Macaca fascicularis: one gene and its partners. The protein of the gene in region 1 binds, or shares a complex with, the protein of each later gene. Links are inferred from orthologs where the notes say so. Each region holds a gene or a part of one and is shown in the gene's direction. Other genes may lie near its edges. The genes, in order: RHO, GRK1, SAG, GNAT3 and GNAT1.

Region 1 (3,206 bases):
CGGAAGCACAGCCTCTGGACGCTCTGGGTTTCCTGAGGCCAGTCAACTGTCACCAATATCAGGAACCACTGCCACATCCTAACAATGTGCCCTGGAAACCTCTTGTTTCCAGAAGCTGCACAAAGATCCCTTAGATACCCTGTGTGTCCATCTTTGACCTGGAAAATACTCTCGCCCTGGGGCTAGGAAAACCTCAGTTTATACAAACTGCCTCAAATACAGAGCCTCCCCTCCTCCTCACCAACCTCTGCCTGGCATAACCCTAGGCTCAGAGGGCAGTGGATGCTGGGGCTGGGCATGCCGGGAGAGGCTGGGTGGTATCATCTGGTACCGCAGCCACCAGTGAAGCGACACTGATTCCACAAGGTGCGTCTGCATCCCCATCTGATCCATATTCCATCCCGTCACCCAGCCATGCAGACGCTTATGATCCCCTTTTCCAGGAAGGGAATGTGAAGCCCCAGAAAGGGCCAGCGCTCGGCAGGCGCCTTGGCCAAGTCCCTCACAGGCGGGTTCTCCCTACCTGCCCGTCCTCAGATACATCCCCGAGGGCTTGCAGTGCTCGTGCGGAATTGACTACTACACGCTCAAGCCAGAGGTCAACAACGAGTCCTTTGTTATCTACATGTTCGTGGTCCACTTCACCATCCCCATGATTGTCATCTTCTTCTGCTACGGGCAGCTCGTCTTCACCGTCAAGGAGGTATGGGCCGGGGAGTGGGCAGCCTCACGGCTCTGACAGTCCAGCCCCCAGCATGTATCTGCGGCTCCTGCTCCCTGGAGGAGCCATGGTCTGGACCCGGGCCCCTTGTCTTGCAGGCCGCTGCCCAGCAGCAGGAGTCGGCCACCACACAGAAGGCAGAGAAGGAGGTCACTCGCATGGTCATCATCATGGTCATCGCTTTCCTGATCTGCTGGGTGCCCTATGCCAGCGTGGCATTCTACATCTTCACCCACCAGGGCTCCAACTTCGGTCCCATCTTCATGACCATCCCAGCGTTCTTTGCCAAGAGCGCCTCCATCTACAACCCTGTCATCTATATCATGATGAACAAGCAGGTGCCTACTGCGGGTGGGAGGGCCCCAGTGTCCCAGACCACAGGCACTGCCTGCCAAGGACAAACTGCGTCCCAGGGCAGGGGAGGGGGCTCCATCAGGGCTACTGGCAGCAGTCTTGGGTCAGCAGTCTCAATGGGGAGTGTGTGAGAAATGCAGATTCCTGGCCCCACCCAGATCTGCTGAATCTCAGGGAGGGCCTAGGAACCTACATTTCCAACAAGCTCTCCACAGGTGGCTCAGATGCTCACTGAGGTGGGAGAAGCTCTAGTCCAGATAGTTCTGGAAGCCCAATGTCAAAGTCAGAAGGTCCCAAGAGGGGAATGGATGGGCCAGTCTCCATAAAGCTGAATAAGGAGCTAAAAAGTCTTATTCTGAGGGGTAAAGGGGTAAAGGGGTAAAGGTTCCTCTCCAAGGAACTCAGAAGTTGGGGTAAACAGTCTCTGAAGTCAGCTCTGCCATTTTCTAACTATGTGACCCCATGCAAGTCAATTCCCCTCTCTGTGCTTTGGTTTCCTCATCCATAGAAAGGGCAAAACACCCAACTCTCAGATTACAGGAGATAATTTACAGAACACCCTTGGCACACAGAGGGCACCATGAAATGTCATGGGCGACACAGCCCTCTCGTGCTGGGTCCCTGGCATCTCTAGGGGTGAGGAGCGTCTGCTTAGCAAGTTTCCTCCAGGAAGCCAGATTTGAGTGGACGGGGCGCTGGAACTGTGAGGGGCAGAAGCAGGGAAAAGGTTGGGGCAAACCTCACTAACGTGCCAGTTCCAAGCACACTGTGGGCAGCCCTGGCCCTGACTCAAGCCTCTTGCCTTCCAGTTCCGGAACTGCATGCTCACCACCATCTGCTGCGGCAAGAACCCGCTGGGTGACGATGAGGCCTCTGCCACCGTGTCCAAGACGGAGACTAGCCAGGTGGCCCCAGCCTAAGACCTGCCTAGGACGCTGTGGCCGACTGTAGGCGTCTCCCGTCCCCCACACCCTCCCCCAGCCACAGCCATCCCACCAGGAGCAGCGCCTGTGCAGAATGAACGAAGTCACATAGGCTCCTTCATTTTTTTTTTTAAAGAAATAATTAATGAGAGAAAAATGAGGCTCCTCACTCACCCGGGACAGCCTGAGAAGGGACATCCACCAACACCTACTGATCTGGAGTCCCAGGTTCCCCAAGGCCAGTGGGATCTGTGCCCCTCCTCCTCCCAGCTCATCTTTCAGGAACATGAGGATTCTTGCTTTCTGGAAAAGTGTCCCAGCTTAGGGATAAGTGTCTAGCACAGAATGGGGCACACAGTAGGTGCTTAATAAATGCTGGATGGATGCAGGAAGGAATGGAGGAATGAAAGCGAAGGGAGAACATATCTATCCTCTCAGACCCTCTTAGCAGCAGCAACTCATACTTGGCTAATGATAAGGAGCAGTTGTTTTTCCCTCCCTGGGCCTCACTTTCTTCCCCTATAAAATGGAAATCCCAGATTCCTGGTCCTGCCGACACGCAGCTACTGAGAGGACCAAAAGAGGTGTGTGTGTGTGTGTGTGTGTGTGTGTGTGTCTATGTGTGTGTTTCAGCACCTTGTAAATAGCAAGAGCTGTACAGATTCTAGTTCATGTTGTGAATAACATCAATTAATGTAACTAGTTAATTATTATGATTATCACCTCCTGATTGTGAACATTCTGAGACTGGGCATTCGGATGATGGGGTTTCACCCAGCCTCGGGGCAGGTTTTTAAAAATTAGCTAGGCGTCAAGGCCAGACCAGGGCTGGGGCTGGGCTGCAGACAAGGACAGTCACAGGAATGCAGAATGCAGTCATCACACCTGAAAAAACAACATTGGGGGAGTGGGGCGATGAAGGCCAAGTTCTCAGTGAGGGTGAGATTGGGCCTGGGGTATCACCCCTACTGTGAGGCCCCAGACCCCGTGCCTCCCCTTCCCAGTGTGGCTTATGGAGAGACACGCCTTTCTCTCAGCCTCTGGAAGTTACCTGCTCTTTTGCCCTAGCACCTGGGCCCCAGCATCTACAGCATGGAGCCTCTGGAAGATATGCTCACCGGCCCACATTTAATGAACAGCTGAGTCCCTGATGTCATCCTTATCTCAAAGAGCTTAGAAACAAAGAGTGGGAAATTCCACTGGGCCCA
Region 2 (3,514 bases), on another chromosome or scaffold:
CCTTGCACCAGGAGAGTAAATGAAGATGAAGTTCACCAGCGCCCGCCCATTCCTGGGGCTGACGCTGGAGCTGGAGACAAGATCAGGCCAGCTGGGGCCATGGCCTTCCTGCTTTCTGGCAGAGAGGAGGTGGTGCTGCCTCCACAAAGTCCTGGCCCCGGATCCATCACCGAGGCAGGCCCCAGGCCCGTGTGGGAGATCAGATCACAGGCTCGCTTGGTACCTGGGCCGCTTAGCCATTGCTTGGTTCTGTTTCCTGGTCTATAAAATGGGAAGAGATAATATCTAAGTTGAAAGATTGTTTGGCCAGGCGCGGTGGCTCAAGCCTGTAATCCCAGCACTTTGGGAGGCCAAGACAGGTGGATCACAAGGTCAGGAGATCGAGACCATCCTAGCTAATGCGGTGAAACCCCGTCTCTACTAAAAAAATACAAAAAAACTAGCTGGGCGAGGTGGCGGGCGCCTGTAGTCCCAGCTACTCGGGAGGCTGAGGCAGGAGAATGGCGTGAACCCGGGAGGTGGAGCTTACAGTGAGCCGAGATCCTGCCACTGAATTCCAGCCTGGGCAACAGAGCAAGACTCCGTCTCAAAAAAAAAAAAAAAAGAAAAAAAAAAAGAAAGATTGTTGGAAGATTAACAGTGTCTGATACCCCTAAGGTTGGGGATGGGCAGGGGCCATGGCTGTGGTTGGCAGCACCATGCCCCATTCTCACCTGCTTTTAATTTCCAAGGAAACTCCTTCAGGTGAGGCTGGTGGCCCATTTTTCAGATGAGGAATGTGAGTCCAGACTAAGTCACCATGCCAGGTGCCCAGGCGGAGGGGAGGGGGCGCCGGGAAGCACACACACGGGGGTGCCCAGGCAGAGGGGAGGGGGCGCTGGGAAGCTTAGTCACAGGGGTGCCCAGGGAGGGCCTGGTGGCTCCGGCCGCCTCATGATCCACCTGGCTCCAGGGCCTCCTCTCCTGTTTCCTGCGACTATACTCCTGGTGCCACCTAGTTTAAATAGTTTATTTTATTTGTTAGGTTTTGCTTCTCTGCAAAACCTGTCCACGGAAAACATAAGAAATGATGTTTTATGGGGGAGGAAAGAGGCTGAGAAGAAACACCTTGCTGCAAATCCTTCACGAGTCTGATGAACTCGGGGCCTGCGGAGCTCCATCCCGCCTCAGCCTGGCCTCTTCCTGAGACGGTCTGGGCTGTTTTCCAGCACCTGCAGCCCACGCCAGGAAGCATGGGGACAGGAGACACACGTGGACGGCACTTTCTCCCCGTTAGCCGTTGGGGTTCGGGGTCCCTGAGCTGCTAACGCCGCCAGCCACCATGGCCTCGGGGTCTCCTCTGCAGGGACGCTGGGGGGCCAGGCCTCAAAACGACCAGAACGCTGGCTGGTTCTGAGGTCCCCGCTCTGTCTTTCCATGATTTTACTCCCCATTAAACCCGGGGCACATGGCTCCCGCGTGTCTGCCCCCAGGTACCACATCTACAACGTGAATGAGGAGAATCCCGGCTTCCCGGAGCCGCGTGCCGTCTTCTACACGGCGCAGATCATCTGCGGCCTGGAGCACCTGCACCAGCGGCGGATCGTCTACCGTGACCTCAAGCCTGAGAATGTGCTGCTGGACAACGACGGTAGGCAGCGCCCGCGGCGGTGAGGGATGGGGGCTCCGAGGACGGCGGGGCGCAGCTTCCCTGGAGGTCTCTGCACAACCTCACGAGGGTTGACAGCTGCGTGGACAGCGGGGGTGTCATTGGGCACCAGGAGTCACGGGAGTGAGTGCAGGGGTCTGCGGTGCAGAACTAGCTGGGAATGGTGAGTCTGCTAGGCCCAGTCCCCACCTTCCTTCTGCCTGAATGAGGCATCACACAGGGATTCTTCTCAGAAATAAACACAAGGGTTTAGGCTCCCGACGCTGGCAGGTCAGGCAAGTGCGAGACACGCACCAGGGCCCAAGAGAGTGTGGGGGGCTGGGATGGGAGGATCCCGGTGGGCAACACCCACGCCTAGCTGCAACACGACCGGCCCTCTTCCCTACACCCTGCGCCCTTCACCGTCAGCCAGGGAGCCGCTGTCATGTGCATGGTGTGTGCTGTGTACGTGTATGTGGTTTGTGGGGTGTGTGTTGTGTGTGAGGTATGTGTGTGGCATATGGTGTGTATGTGTGGTGTGTGATTGTGTGGTATGTCTGGTGTGTGTGGTGTAAGTCTGGGGTGCTGGGGCCTCGTGGTCACTTGGTATGTGTATGTGTGGTGCGAGATATCTGGTGTGGTACGTGGTATGTGTGGTATTGTGTGTGGCGTGTGTGTGTGTGGTATCTGTATGATGTGGTATGTGGTATGTCTGGTATTGTGTGTGGTATGTGTGGTATTGTGTGTGGCACGTGTGTGTGAGGTGTGTATGTAGTCTTTGGTTGTTGGTGTGTGCTGTGTGTGTGGTCTGTGGAATGTGGTGTGTGTGGTATGTGAGTGTGCAGTGAGTGTGGTGTGTCTGAGACCATGTGGGTTGTGTGTGGTGTGTCTGTGAGTTTGGCTGGGGAGGGGAGGATCATGGGCACTGGGTGGTGCTTATGGCTGTTTGGTGTGTGTGTATGTTTGTGGTGTGGTCATGGGGTGTGTGTGTGGGGTGTGTGTGTATGTGTTTGTGGTGTGGTGGTGGGGTGTGTGCATGTGAGTCTGGCTAGGGAGGGGAGGCTTCTGGGCTCTGGGACCTCATGGCTGCCTGGTATGTCTGTGTGTGGTGTGTGTCTGTGATATGTGTGTGTGTGGTGTGGTATGTGTGGTATGGTCTATGTGGTCTGCGTGTGGTATGGTATGTATAGTGTAGTAGTGGTGTGTCTGTGTGGTATGGTGTGGGTGTGTGGTGTGATCTGTGTAGTGTGTGTGGTGTGTAGTGTGTGTGTGGTGTGATCTGTGTGTGTGTGGTGTCCATGGTGTGTGTTGTGATCTGTGTGGTGTGTGGTGTTCGTGGTGTGTGTGTGTGTGGTGTCTGTGGTGTGATCTGTGTGGTGTGTGTGGTGTAGTGTGTGTTGTGTGTGTGCGTTTGTGTGAAGGTGGCTCTGGGCTCACTGGTACCTGTGCAGCCAGGGGTGACTCCACTGTGTCTGCCTCTCAGGCAATGTCCGGATCTCTGACCTTGGGCTGGCTGTGGAGCTGCTGGATGGGCAGAGCAAGACCAAGGGCTATGCAGGGACCCCAGGTAAGGGTCTGAGCACAGCTGGGGAGGCTCTGTGCATGTGTGCATCCCTGTGTACATGTGTGTCTGTGTGCACATGCATGTACGTGTGAGTTTGTGTATATATGTGTGTGTGCACATCATGTACATGTGAGTTTGTGTGTATATGTGTGTCTGCACATCATGTACATGTGAGTTTGTGTATATATGTGTGTGCACATCACATATATGTGAGTTTGTGTATATATGTGTGCCTGTGTGCACATCACGTACATGTGAGTTTGTTATATATGTGTGTGTACATCACGTACATGTGAGTTTGCGTATATATGTGTGTCTGTGTA
Region 3 (3,514 bases), on another chromosome or scaffold:
CTTAGCACATGTTTTGTCTATATGTGTGTGTATATATATATACGTGTGTGTATAGATGTATGTATGTTTGAATAGATGTTTTCAATGTATAATTGAGTGAGGAAAGCAGTTAGCTGAACAGTAAGTACAATAGGATCTTTTTTTTCTTAGTAAAAGCATTCATATAATTTTTTTTTTTTTTGAGATGGAGTCTCGCTCTGTCGCCCAGGCTGGAGTGCAGTGGCCAGATCTCAGCTCACTGCAAGCTCCGCCTCCCAGGTTCCCGCCATTCTCCTGCCTCAGCCTCCCGAGTAGCTGGGACTACAGGCGCCCGCCACCTCGCCCGGCTAGTTTTTTGTATTTTTTTTTTTTTTTTTTTTTTTTTTTTTGAGACAGAGTCTCGCTCTGTCGCCCAGGCTGGAGTGCAGTGGCCGGATCTCAGCTCACTGCAAGCTCCGCCTCCCGGGTTTACGCCATTCTCCTGCCTCAGCCTCCCAAGTAGCTGGGACTACAGGCGCCCGCCACCTCGCCCAGCTAGTTTTTTTTTTTTGTATTTTTAGTAGAGACGGGGTTTCACCGTGTTCGCCAGGATGGTCTCGATCTCCTGACCTCGTGATCCGCCCGTCTCGGCCTCCCAAAGTGCTGGGATTACAGGCTTGAGCCACCGCGCCCGGCGCATTCATATAATTAAGTTATATATGTCTGGAAAAATTTTTTTGGGCGGGGGTGCGGGGCAGTGTCTCACTGTCACCCAGGCTGGAGTGCAGTAGCATGGTCACAGCTCACTGCAGCCTCAACCTCCCAGGTTCAAGAAATCCCCCTACCTCCGCCTCTCACGTAGCTGGGACCACAAGCAGGCACCACCATGCCTGGCCCATGCCCTGCTAACTTTTTTTCTTTTTTCTTTTTTATATGTTTTGAGAAAAGATCTGGTTCTATTACCCAGGCTGGAGTCCAGTGGCATGATCATGGCTCACTGCAGACTTGACATCCCAGACTCGAGGGATCCTCCTGCCTCAGCCTCCTGAGTAGTTGGGACTACAGGCATGCACCACCACACCCAGCTAACTTTTTAAATTTTATGTAAAGACAGGCTCTCATTTTGTTACCCAGGCTGCTGCTAATTTTTTAAAAAGCTTTTTGTAGAGACAACGATCTCACTGTGTTGCTCAGGCTGCCCTCAAACTCCTAGGCTCGAGCAGTCCCCCTGCCTCGGCCTCCCAAAGTGCTGGGATTACAGGCATGAGCCACCACACCTGGCCTGGAAAAATAAAATAAAAGTCTGCACCGAGAGCTTCACAATAGGTATTTTTAGGTGGTAGGAATTTGGATGACTTTTTGCCCTTAACTTTTCTTTCTTTCTTATAATGAACATGGATTACATGTGCAATTAAAAACATACATAGTTTTTAAAGTAGGTGTCTGGTTTCTTTGATCTTCTCCACCCTCACTGCTCTCTCCCTCTTTTGCCTTAGATGGTGTCGTGTTGGTTGATCCTGACCTCGTGAAGGGAAAGAAAGGTGAGATGAAGCCCCTTGTCTCAGGCTGGTTTCTGGGTGGAGTGGGCTGCTCTCTGGGCGGCTCTGGGAAGGGGCATTTACGTGGAAGGAGAAACAGGAAGGCAGAGGCAGTGCTCTTGCACATGGAACCAGTGCCAGGCCCGTTGACCCACACTCCCGTACTTAATTCACGTGACATAGGTCCCGTTGACACCAGAGCTCACTCGCTCAGCAAAGTCATTGTCCAGGGTGGCAGATAAGTAGATGGTAGATGGAGCCCAGGTCTGTGGCCCCCATCGGTGTGTGCTAACCCCTGTATCGTGTACTTCTGTGCTAGGGGCAAACTCAGGAGGGCGCCTGGGCTGCCTCGGACTCAGGAGGACACCAGACCTTGAATGAATGAGGGCAGAGTGAGTGGACAGTGTTTCTTCCGAGTCAGTGGCGAGGGGCAGTTACTGTTGGGGCTGACGGGCAAAATTCTCAACCAACACTAAAAAGGGGCAAATGATGCCTGCCGGGACACAGGGGGAGTAAGACCCGGAATTTATGATGGCGCTTACTTTGATGGTTCTGAACCAGTGTCACGGTGCCCTTGAAGATTTCTGGCAGTTTTGATGTGTGTGGTAAGTAATTTGTTACTAATAACAGTTGCGTAAACCAAATTAGAACAGATTCCAGCTATCCTTGTGATAATGTCACTGACTCAGTTCCATTCTAAATATGCCTTTTTGAGTGTTGCTACTGGCAACATCAAGGAATTGTTGAGAACCCTGGATGTGCCACTGGAATATGTCAGCTGTGGGGCCATCAGCATCAAGAGGGGCATGGCTGAAATGGGGCCCCAAACGGCCCCCTCTGTCCTCTCCACCTTCCTCCTGGATGCCCTGCTCCTCTCTGGACCAGGAGACATATGGGTGCCCTGCTCCTCTCTGGACCAGGAGACATCTGGGTGCCCTGCTCCTCTCTGGACCAGGAGACATCTGAAAGCCCATGTCCTTGACCAGAGAAGGGCGCCTGTTCTCAGGGAAAGCCACAGCACAGGACAGCTGTCAAACTGGGTAGTCTCTGGGCACCTTCTTAGTCCTGACTTTGAATGAGGGGCGAGTGAGTGGCCACCATTTCTTCTGAGTCAGCAGCGAGGGGCAGTTACCTTTGAGGCTGACAGGCAAAATTCTCAACCAACAGCCGCCACGCACTTGGAGGGGCCACCTCTGACGCGCTTTATATTTGAGAGATACATGCTTTGTGTCTTTTTTAGAAGGCGTAGTGAACTTCCATACAATTCTTTTAGTCCACTGGGCGCGCACTTTAAGTCTGTTCAACAAGTGGAATTTTCAGAAGTGGGGGTTTGGAGCACGCTCAGTATGTTTCAGAGCACTGTGAAAAGGAGGCTGGAACTCGAGCCTTCTCAAGTTGGACTTCGCCTCCCCATGTGGCCTGTGAGCCTTCTGGTTCCTCGTTTAGCCCACGATTAACTCTGGCCCACATCTGCTTGGCTGCCCAGCACTGTTTCCCTCTGCATCTTACCTTCTTCCTTCATTCGTCCAGACATCCTGCCCGCCAGAACGTGAGCAGCCAGCACTGTCTCAAAGCCTCTGAGGCCACGGAGCTAGGGAATGAAGGGGGCGGGCAGGATGGAGGGGACTGGGTCCTCTGTCTGCAGATTCCTACCATTCTGACAACATGACACAATTGGGAGGGAGATGCCAGGATCTCCGGTTAGAGTGGTGAACCCTCACGAAGGGGCTGATTCTCCAGAGCGGTGTGGAGTAGCTGAGTGGCAGGGTTCTCTCCAGTCCCAACCCGCATCCTTTCCAGATGCTAAAAGTTGAAAACCCGGGCCCGCTACCCACTCCATCAGTGGTGGTGGGTGCCAGGCCGAGTGCCAAGTCCAACCCTGCCTTCATCTCCTTTGCAGTGTATGTCACTCTGACCTGCGCCTTCCGCTATGGCCAAGAGGACATTGATGTGATCGGCCTGGCCTTCCGCAGGGACCTGTACTTCTCCCGGGTCCAGGTGTACCCTCCTGTGGGGGC
Region 4 (3,514 bases), on another chromosome or scaffold:
CACTGTCTCACAGAAATTGATATATGCAGCTCCTGGAAAAATGATGTTGTTTAAAGTCCCACTTCAACTGGACATTTTAACATCTGTTTTTATAATTTTTCTTTGTGATAAATGTTTCTTCACTTCTGATAGCAGTCAGAACTTGTTTCATGAAGAACACCTAAGTACCCCACGTTTATTCACAGTTGCCATTTTAATAATTAAAATAATTTTCCAAGTTCAATTTGACAGAAAACTGGGATTTCTTTAGTAAACTTATTCTTGATCTATCCATAAAGACATTTTACTGCATTTTTTCTACAGTCTTTGTCTACTTTATTTACTTAAGTTATTTAATGATTCAATGCAGCAAGATAGACATGACCATGTTTAACATAGAAGTTCAGCAATGATTTGTAATCAAATAAAAAAAACAACAAATAACAAATATAGGCCCTGCTTTTACTTCTTTCAGTTGAGATTTCTTGTATATGAAGGTTCTAATATCTTCAAAGACATTAAAGAGGCATTTGTGCTCTTTTCCCCTCTATGCTAAAGCCTTTATACGTGTAGACACAATATAAACATTTAGTAATATGACATCCAAAAAGACGCCTAACGAATACAAAGCACTTCAAGACAATTAAAACATTATAGAAAGGAACAAAAACAATTCTACAATAAAGATGCAAAAATACGTAACTGGCACATGTAATGACTTTAGCTTTTGATAGGTAAATCTATTTTAAGCTATTATTCCAAAACTTCTAGTAAAATCTTGAGTTTGGCTGAATGAGTGGAAGGTAGAGAAGAGTTCAGCCAAATAAAATGTCAGGCATTTCAACTTTTATAACTCAGTGGCACGTACACAGATGGAGAACTGACAAGAGATTTAACACAGGGCAATTACCTGTACTAAAAAAGATGCCTTTGTTGATGCTGTAAATAGAAGGAAGGCACTCCTATTTTCCAGCATGATAGGAAAAGTCATGAATGTTCTAAATGACTTAACTTCCTCTAGACATCAGGTTGTGGACACAAGGCCAAGTTTCAAAACTGTGAATATATCTTTGTCCTGAGAATCTATAATTTTTTTTTCTTAAAAACAAAAACAAAAACAAAAAACAGGCTTTCTAAGTATAATGCTTATGATTTACTCGTTTCAGAAAAGTATGTTAAAATAACAAATCCTAAGTCCTTTTGTATTTATCATGGTAGCCCAGAAAGAAAATATTGTATGAATGACAATGATAATGAAAGTCCAAAGGCATAAAATTGTTTAGATTTAGCATATACATATGGTCAAAATTCCTTTTTAATGAAAATATACTATAATTGTATTCAAGTAACTTATTTTGATGTGCTTTAGTGTTACAATCAATTATTCAACTCACAGAAACTTTTCATGTTTAAATTATAGGATCATCCATAAGAATGGTTACAGTGAGCAAGAATGCATGGAGTTCAAAGCAGTAATTTACAGTAATACATTGCAATCCATCCTAGCTATTGTGAAAGCCATGACTACCCTTGGAATTGATTATGTAAATCCCAGAAGTGCAGTAAGTATGCAAATAATGACAGCTGTATGTCCTGCAATAGAGTTTGAGCCACAAAATAAGAGGACTTAATAAGTTCATAGTATTAATCTATACCCAAAATTTAAAAATATGAAACATGAATTTTGAAACATTAATTATGTTTTGTGTAAGATTTCTTATTTTCCTTGAAGTGAAACTTTTTTACTGTATACTGTTATTCAACATTAGTTGTTTTCCTGAGGATTAAACTTAATATCAAATAATACACCATAAGAAACAAAAATATTGTTTACGATTGCTAAATGCAAAAGTTTATGGCATAAACACAATTTGCAATATCTCTACATTAATTTTTTAGTTATGTCATTTCAAAGAGACTAACAATGTTTAATAATAACGCAATAATTATGATTAATGTTTGATGATGATTACAAAGTCTGCGTGGCAACAGGGAAATGATTATAATGCTAAGTTTTTTAAAAAAGAATTCAAATTGTAGGAGCAAGCAAATGGTTGTATATTAAGTATATTCAAGTAGTCATAGTTCTGTTTGTAAGGTAACAACAAAATTATTTTCTCCCTACTTTATATTTTGCTATATAGTTATTTTATATTAAAATATATTTGAAATCCACTTACTTTAAAAGTTTATAGGCAAATATATAAAAATATTTGGCAAATGAAACTTACAGTATTATCCAAAGAACCATAGTTGACCCCACCCAAAAAAGAGAAACTGAGTAGAATCCACAAGAAGAACTCACCTATTTCCATATGTCCCCTCCAGGAGCAGCTGGGCATCTGGTTACCTCCAGAGGATGCCAGTTGAATGCCTACCAATGTAATTCTTGGAAACCTTGCTATAGAAACAATAAAAATAGAGAACAAAAGCATAGTAAGGATAAAGAAAGAGGAGTCATTTGAACTCCCTCAACCAGCTTAGTGGACCTTGTAAATGGCCACTGGATCTTGTAAATGACCACTAGAAATCATTACAATTAAAACAAACAAACAAAGGCGGCTTTTCCATGCTCTTAATGTAAAGAAAGGGGAAATCCCCCTTTTTCTTGTCACTTTTCTTCAAAGAACAAAGAAATGCTAAGTATGGTCTTCAGGCAGATAGTTTATAAAGCGAGGAGTCAGATATTTTACTGATTCCCATTTCTAGTTTTCTCCACAGTTTGCTCCAATCTATCTCTCTGGCTACAGTTTCCCACTCATGTGTAAAAGGGGAACTTGATGTTCCCCTTCCCGAGTCCAAGTGATCTCATTGTTCAGTTCCCACCTATGATGGGTGCTGACGAGTTGATGGGTGCAGCACACCAACATGGCACAAGTATACATATGTAACAAACCTGCACGTTATGCACATGTACCCTAGAACTTGAAGTATAATAAAATAAATAAATAAATAAATAAGGGGAACTTGGAGGAGGTGAACTCCAAGATCCTTTTATTCTTTATCTCTCTATGACTTAGTGATCATGTTCTTATTTAAGTGTAGTTCAGTTATGGATCTGAACCTTGGCTTTTTCTAAGATACTAGGATTTTAAATTGACTCTTAAGAGACAACATAGTATAACCACCTTAATTTAAAAAACAAGGATCAAAGAAGATTAGTTGGTTTACATTAAGTAGCTAGAGTTCATGGCAAAACCCACTTCTCCTGGATTCCATTATAGTGCTTTTTGCTTTTAAGGGATTTAATGATTAGAAATATTTTATCTTTTTATCTTAGGCAATAATAGTCACTAAAATAGATGTACCTTCTTAATTCCTTTGAGAATGATTTAATGATGTTTAAATTTGTAGATGCAATATGGTATTCCATGCATTTGTGTCAGAGAAGTTGGAAATCACCTTGCCTATTGCTACTTATTTAATTATACTGTATCCTTCATATGACCCAGAGTTTGTGAAACAGTGATGCTCTGATCACTAAAGACCTGAGCTTTGACCTGGTGTGGTGGCTCACGCCTATAATCTCAACACT
Region 5 (4,111 bases), about 41 Mb from region 1:
AGCCGGGTGTGGTGGCGGGCGCCTGTAGTCTCAGCTACTTGGGAGGCTGAGGCGGGAGAATGGCGTGAACCCGGGAGGCGGAGCTTGCAGTGAGCCGAGATCACGCCAGTGCACTCCAGCCTGGGAGACACAGCGAGACTCCGTCTCAAAAAAAAAAAAAAAAAAAAAAAAACTAGCCGGGCAAGGTGGCGGGCGCCTGCAGTCCCAGCTACTTGGGAGGCTGAGGCAGGAGAATGGCGTAAACCCGGGAGGCGGAGCTTGCAGTGAGCTGAGATCCGGCCACTGCACTCCAGCCTGGGTGACAGAGCGAGACTCCATCTTAAAAAAAAAAAAAAAAAATGCTGGGCACGATGGCTCACGCCTGTAATCCCAGCACTTTGGGAGGCCACGGCGGGTGGATCATGAGGTCAGGAGATCGAGACCATCCTGGCTAACACGGTGAAACCCTGTCTTTACTAAAAATACAAAAAATTAGCCCGATGTGGTGGTGGGCGCCTGTTGTCCCAGCTACTTGGGAGGCTGAGCCAGGAGAATGGCGTGAACCCGGGAGGCAGAGCTTGCCGTGAGCCAATATCGTGCCACTGCACTCCAGCCTGAGCAACAGAGCTAGACTCCGTCCAAAAAAAAAAAAAAGACACATACACCAAGGCACACAGAGAAGATATGCATGCCCACCAGAGTCCGCTGGAAGCCGAGGACCTCTTTGGGGTAGCTCCAGCCTGTGATATGGGATTATGGGATGAATGCAATGCCCACTGTTTCCCTCTCTCTGGATTCCCTGCAGGTCATAAAATCCCAGTCCAGTGTCACCCAGCCCTTCTTAACCACTTCCTCCTGTGTGACGCTTTGAGCCTCTACTTCCTCATCAGTAAAATGAGGCTGATGACATGGGCATCTATCCTCCAGGGCCAGTGTGAGCTTACAACAAGATAAGGAGTGGTGCTGAGCCCGGTGCTGGGCAGGCAGCAGGCATGTTTCTCCCAATTATGCCCTCTCACTGCCAGCTCCACCTCCATCGTCCTCACCCCCAGGGCTCAAGTTTCTGCCTTCCCCTTTCTCAGCCCTGATTCTACCCACTCCCAGGCAGCACCAGGGCCTCTCCTGAAGGGTGGAGGGGGGCAGAAGGACAGCAGGAGTGCAGAGTCAGCGGTTGAGGGATTGGGGCTATGCCAGCCTGATTAGAAGGGTTGGGGGGGCTGAGCTGGATTCACCTGTCCTTGTCTCTGATTGGCTCTTGGACACCCCTAGCCCCCAAATCCCACTAAGTAGCCCCACTAGGGACTGCACAGGTCCGTAGAGAGCCAGTTGATTGCAGGTCCTCCTGGGGCCAGAAGGGTGCCTGGGAGGCCAGGTTCTGAGGATCCCCTCCATCCAGAAGAACCACCTGCTCACTCTGTCCCTTCACCTGCTGCTGGGACCATGGGGGCTGGGGCCAGTGCTGAGGAGAAGCACTCCAGGGAGCTGGAAAAGAAGCTGAAAGAGGATGCTGAGAAGGATGCTCGAACCGTGAAGTTGCTGCTTCTGGGTAGGGGTGTGGGCCCTGGTGGGGCCACTGCCACCAGATCATTGGTCTGGAGGCAGGCAGGCAGCCCTTCTGTGAAGCAAGGGTTCCCTGGGAAGCAATATGAGCCTGCAACAGAGTAGGGCACAGGGTGGGAGCCCTGGCCAAGCAAGGCCAGGCCTGACAGGTGGTGTCCTATTCCCCCAAGGCTGGACATCCCATGAAGCCCCTCTCCAGACGGCTCTGCCTCAGGTGACCCACCCTCCAGAAGTGCGTGCCAACCACACTCTTGCACGAGTGTGTGAGGCTGACTTTTCTGTGGCTGGGCTCCCACAAGCGTCATGCAGCCTTTGGTTTGGTAGGCCTGCTGGGCAGTGCTCAGAAGCCAGGGGCCTCACTGGGAGCCCGTTATTGGGCTGCTACTTTGGGAAGGGGATGGTCATAGTCCTCCTGGGGGTGGGGAGTCTCTAGAACCACCCAGATCCACAAAGAATGGCCCTCAGGTGCCAGAGGGCTGTGGCTGGTAGACCTACAAAGCAGCCAACGGGTCTGGCAGGTGCTGAGGCCCAGTGGGAGTAGATAAAGCCGTGTCCACCAGACCGTGGGCAGTGAGAAGAGACGGGGCTGATCCAGGCCTGCCTCAAGGTCACTGTCTGACCTCTCAAGGGGAAAGAGCAGCTTCAAGAGGGCCGGGCAGGCTCCACCCAAGCTCCCCAGAGTCTGGTCAACCAGCTGGAGGTGGGTGAGGGACCAAGCCAGTCCCACTTTCCCCCAAGGCAGAGAGGCTAAGCCAGAAATCTCATTAACTGTGCCCAACGCCCTCGCAGGGGCAAGCTCAGAAAGGATGTCAACTCTGCCCTCCCTGCTACCCAAAGGCGCTAATTCCCTCTGAGCCTCTTGGAGACACCCGCATCCCTTCAGGTGAAAAGCAAGGGATTTACCCGCCTCAAATAACCCAGTGCATGCGGTGCCAGAGGCTCCCACGAGGTGGCGATGGCGCTTCGGGATTTCTTCATTGCAGTCTCACAGCATAATAAAGGCTGCCTGTGTCGGTGTCTTGGGGCCTCCCTGTCCCAGAACAGTTGAGGTCGTTGATTCCCCTCGTTGGCTTCCTTTCTTCACTTTCCTGACATTTGCAAACCTTGTGCCTTCAGGGTGTCAGGACTTACTTTGGACGGGGTGGGTAGGTGTGGCTACGGGGTGGGGGCTGACGCTCAGGCCTCTTCGCTGCCGGTCCACCCTGACAACGGTCCTCCCGGCCTCCTTGGGGGAGGGGGCAGGCGGTCAGCGCAGCTCTGAGGCGCCGCTTCCCTTTCAGGTGCGGGTGAGTCCGGGAAGAGCACCATCGTCAAGCAGATGAAGTGAGTGCCCCTGCCTGTCCCGAGGTCCCTGGGGCTGGGTCCTTCCCCACTTCCCCACGAGGCTCTGACCCTGCTCGCCTCGGCCTCAGGATTATCCACCAGGACGGGTATTCGCTGGAAGAGTGCCTCGAGTTCATCGCCATCATCTACGGCAACACGTTGCAGTCCATCCTGGCCATCGTGCGCGCCATGACCACACTCAACATCCAGTACGGAGACTCTGCACGCCAGGTGTGCCAGGAGGCGGGCTGAGCGGGCCTCTGGGGACTCGAGGCTCGTGGCTGGGCCCGAGTCCCTGGCCGCCACCAGCCACTCTCACCCTGCCCCCAGGACGACGCCCGGAAGCTGATGCACATGGCAGACACCATAGAGGAGGGCACGATGCCCAAGGAGATGTCGGACATCATCCAGCGGCTGTGGAAGGACTCCGGTATCCAGGCCTGTTTTGAGCGCGCCTCGGAGTACCAGCTCAACGACTCGGCGGGCTAGTGAGCGCGTGGGCAGCGCGGGGCGCGGGGCGCAGGGGGCCCTCCACGCCTCCCCACCCACCCACGGCCCGGTCTCGCGCAGCTACCTCTCCGACCTGGAGCGCCTGGTAACCCCGGGCTACGTGCCCACAGAGCAGGATGTGCTGCGCTCGCGAGTCAAGACCACTGGCATCATCGAGACGCAGTTCTCCTTCAAGGACCTCAACTTCCGGTACGACCCACATGCCAGCCCGGGAGGTCACTGCCCCAGGCCCCGTCCTGCCCCGGGGACCCCATCCCTGCGATAGACCCTGCCCCTTCCTGGATATCCCGCCAGCAGAAAGGGTAGTAGTCCCAGCAGAGAGCTCCCCGACCAGCACAGGGCGAGGGGATGCTCCCTGTTAGGCCCAGGGCGCGGGTTCAGGCCCCCGCGGCCCCGCAGGATGTTCGATGTGGGCGGGCAGCGCTCGGAGCGCAAGAAGTGGATCCACTGCTTCGAGGGCGTGACCTGCATCATCTTCATCGCGGCGCTGAGCGCCTACGACATGGTGCTGGTGGAGGACGACGAAGTGGTGGGTGCCAGGCAGGGCCTGTGTTCCAGGGGCGAGGAGGAGTTGCTGGCCCCTGGAGGCGGAGACGGCGCGCTGGGCGTGGGGAGGGCCCGGGAGGGGATGCTGGTCCCGGGCAGCCTGAGGAGGCCGGTAGGCGTTCAGCAGGCCCATCTGGGGCAGTGCCGGGCGCCCTCTGAGAGCCAGCTTAACAGGAAGCCCCACGTGCCCGGG

Evidence for each region.
Region 2: the proteins of RHO (region 1) and GRK1 are in contact, whole or in part, in a cryo-EM structure (PDB 7MT8), measured with the Bos taurus proteins. The link is inferred for Macaca fascicularis from reciprocal best matches to the Homo sapiens genes RHO and GRK1. Residues at the interface, in NP_001014890.1 of Bos taurus: Lys66, Lys67, Arg69, Thr70, Arg135, Val137, Val138, Val139, Lys141, Ser144, Asn145, Phe146, Arg147, Phe148, Glu150, His152, Leu226, Thr229, Val230, Ala233, Gln236, Gln237, Glu239, Thr243, Ala246, Val250, Met257, Ile305, Tyr306, Met309; in NP_776598.1 of Bos taurus: Leu6, Glu7, Thr8, Val9, Val10, Ser13, Ala14, Ile16, Ala17, Ala18, Arg19, Gly20, Asp23, Ala24, Glu184, Asp185, Trp186, Phe187, Leu188, Asp189, Phe190, Val192, Arg195, Glu200, Gln205, Met206, Lys207, Lys221, Arg222, Thr256.
Region 3: the proteins of RHO (region 1) and SAG are in contact, whole or in part, in a crystal structure (PDB 4PXF), measured with the Bos taurus proteins. The link is inferred for Macaca fascicularis from reciprocal best matches to the Homo sapiens genes RHO and SAG. Residues at the interface, in NP_001014890.1 of Bos taurus: Arg135, Val138, Val139, Lys141, Leu226, Glu249, Val250, Met253, Met309, Asn310, Lys311, Gln312; in XP_010802144.1 of Bos taurus: Asp71, Ile72, Met75, Gly76, Leu77.
Region 4: the proteins of RHO (region 1) and GNAT3 are in contact, whole or in part, in a crystal structure (PDB 4A4M), measured with the Bos taurus proteins. The link is inferred for Macaca fascicularis from reciprocal best matches to the Homo sapiens genes RHO and GNAT3. Residues at the interface, in NP_001014890.1 of Bos taurus: Leu72, Arg135, Val138, Val139, Lys141, Thr229, Val230, Ala233, Thr242, Thr243, Lys245, Ala246, Glu249, Val250, Asn310, Lys311, Gln312; in NP_001103452.1 of Bos taurus: Ile344, Asn347, Leu348, Lys349, Asp350, Cys351, Gly352, Leu353, Phe354.
Region 5: the proteins of RHO (region 1) and GNAT1 are in contact, whole or in part, in a cryo-EM structure (PDB 6OYA), measured with the Bos taurus proteins. The link is inferred for Macaca fascicularis from reciprocal best matches to the Homo sapiens genes RHO and GNAT1. Residues at the interface, in NP_001014890.1 of Bos taurus: Leu72, Arg135, Val138, Val139, Lys141, Ser144, Asn145, Phe146, Arg147, Val230, Ala233, Gln236, Gln237, Ser240, Thr242, Thr243, Lys245, Ala246, Glu249, Val250, Met253, Met257, Asn310, Lys311, Gln312; in NP_851365.1 of Bos taurus: Ala27, Arg28, Asp189, Leu190, Val312, Glu314, Tyr316, Asp333, Ala334, Asp337, Ile340, Lys341, Asn343, Leu344, Lys345, Asp346, Cys347, Gly348, Leu349, Phe350.

What each region holds. Positions count from the first base shown.
Region 1 is NC_088376.1:153,861,782-153,864,987, reverse strand, and holds the end of RHO (rhodopsin), read left to right. Parts: intron 1-537; coding exon 538-703; intron 704-819; coding exon 820-1,059; intron 1,060-1,884; coding exon 1,885-1,995; 3' UTR 1,996-2,705; downstream 2,706-3,206. UniProt on the Homo sapiens protein: Photoreceptor required for image-forming vision at low light intensity. Required for photoreceptor cell viability after birth.
Region 2 is NC_088391.1:104,065,682-104,069,195, forward strand, and holds part of GRK1 (rhodopsin kinase GRK1), read left to right. Parts: intron 1-1,472; coding exon 1,473-1,630; intron 1,631-3,110; coding exon 3,111-3,194; intron 3,195-3,514. UniProt on the Homo sapiens protein: Retina-specific kinase involved in the signal turnoff via phosphorylation of rhodopsin (RHO), the G protein- coupled receptor that initiates the phototransduction cascade.
Region 3 is NC_088386.1:129,260,605-129,264,118, forward strand, and holds part of SAG (S-arrestin), read left to right. Parts: intron 1-1,454; coding exon 1,455-1,499; intron 1,500-3,396; coding exon 3,397-3,514. UniProt on the Homo sapiens protein: Binds to photoactivated, phosphorylated RHO and terminates RHO signaling via G-proteins by competing with G-proteins for the same binding site on RHO. May play a role in preventing light-dependent degeneration of retinal photoreceptor cells.
Region 4 is NC_088377.1:140,932,613-140,936,126, forward strand, and holds part of GNAT3 (guanine nucleotide-binding protein G(t) subunit alpha-3), read left to right. Parts: intron 1-1,399; coding exon 1,400-1,541; intron 1,542-3,514. UniProt on the Homo sapiens protein: Guanine nucleotide-binding protein (G protein) alpha subunit playing a prominent role in bitter and sweet taste transduction as well as in umami (monosodium glutamate, monopotassium glutamate, and inosine monophosphate) taste transduction.
Region 5 is NC_088376.1:113,220,107-113,224,217, forward strand, and holds the start of GNAT1 (guanine nucleotide-binding protein G(t) subunit alpha-1), read left to right. Parts: upstream 1-1,303; 5' UTR 1,304-1,419; coding exon 1,420-1,525; intron 1,526-2,453; exon of another isoform or gene 2,454-2,684; intron 2,685-2,819; coding exon 2,820-2,862; intron 2,863-2,951; coding exon 2,952-3,093; intron 3,094-3,192; coding exon 3,193-3,350; intron 3,351-3,432; coding exon 3,433-3,561; intron 3,562-3,771; coding exon 3,772-3,901; intron 3,902-4,111. UniProt on the Homo sapiens protein: Functions as a signal transducer for the rod photoreceptor RHO. Required for normal RHO-mediated light perception by the retina.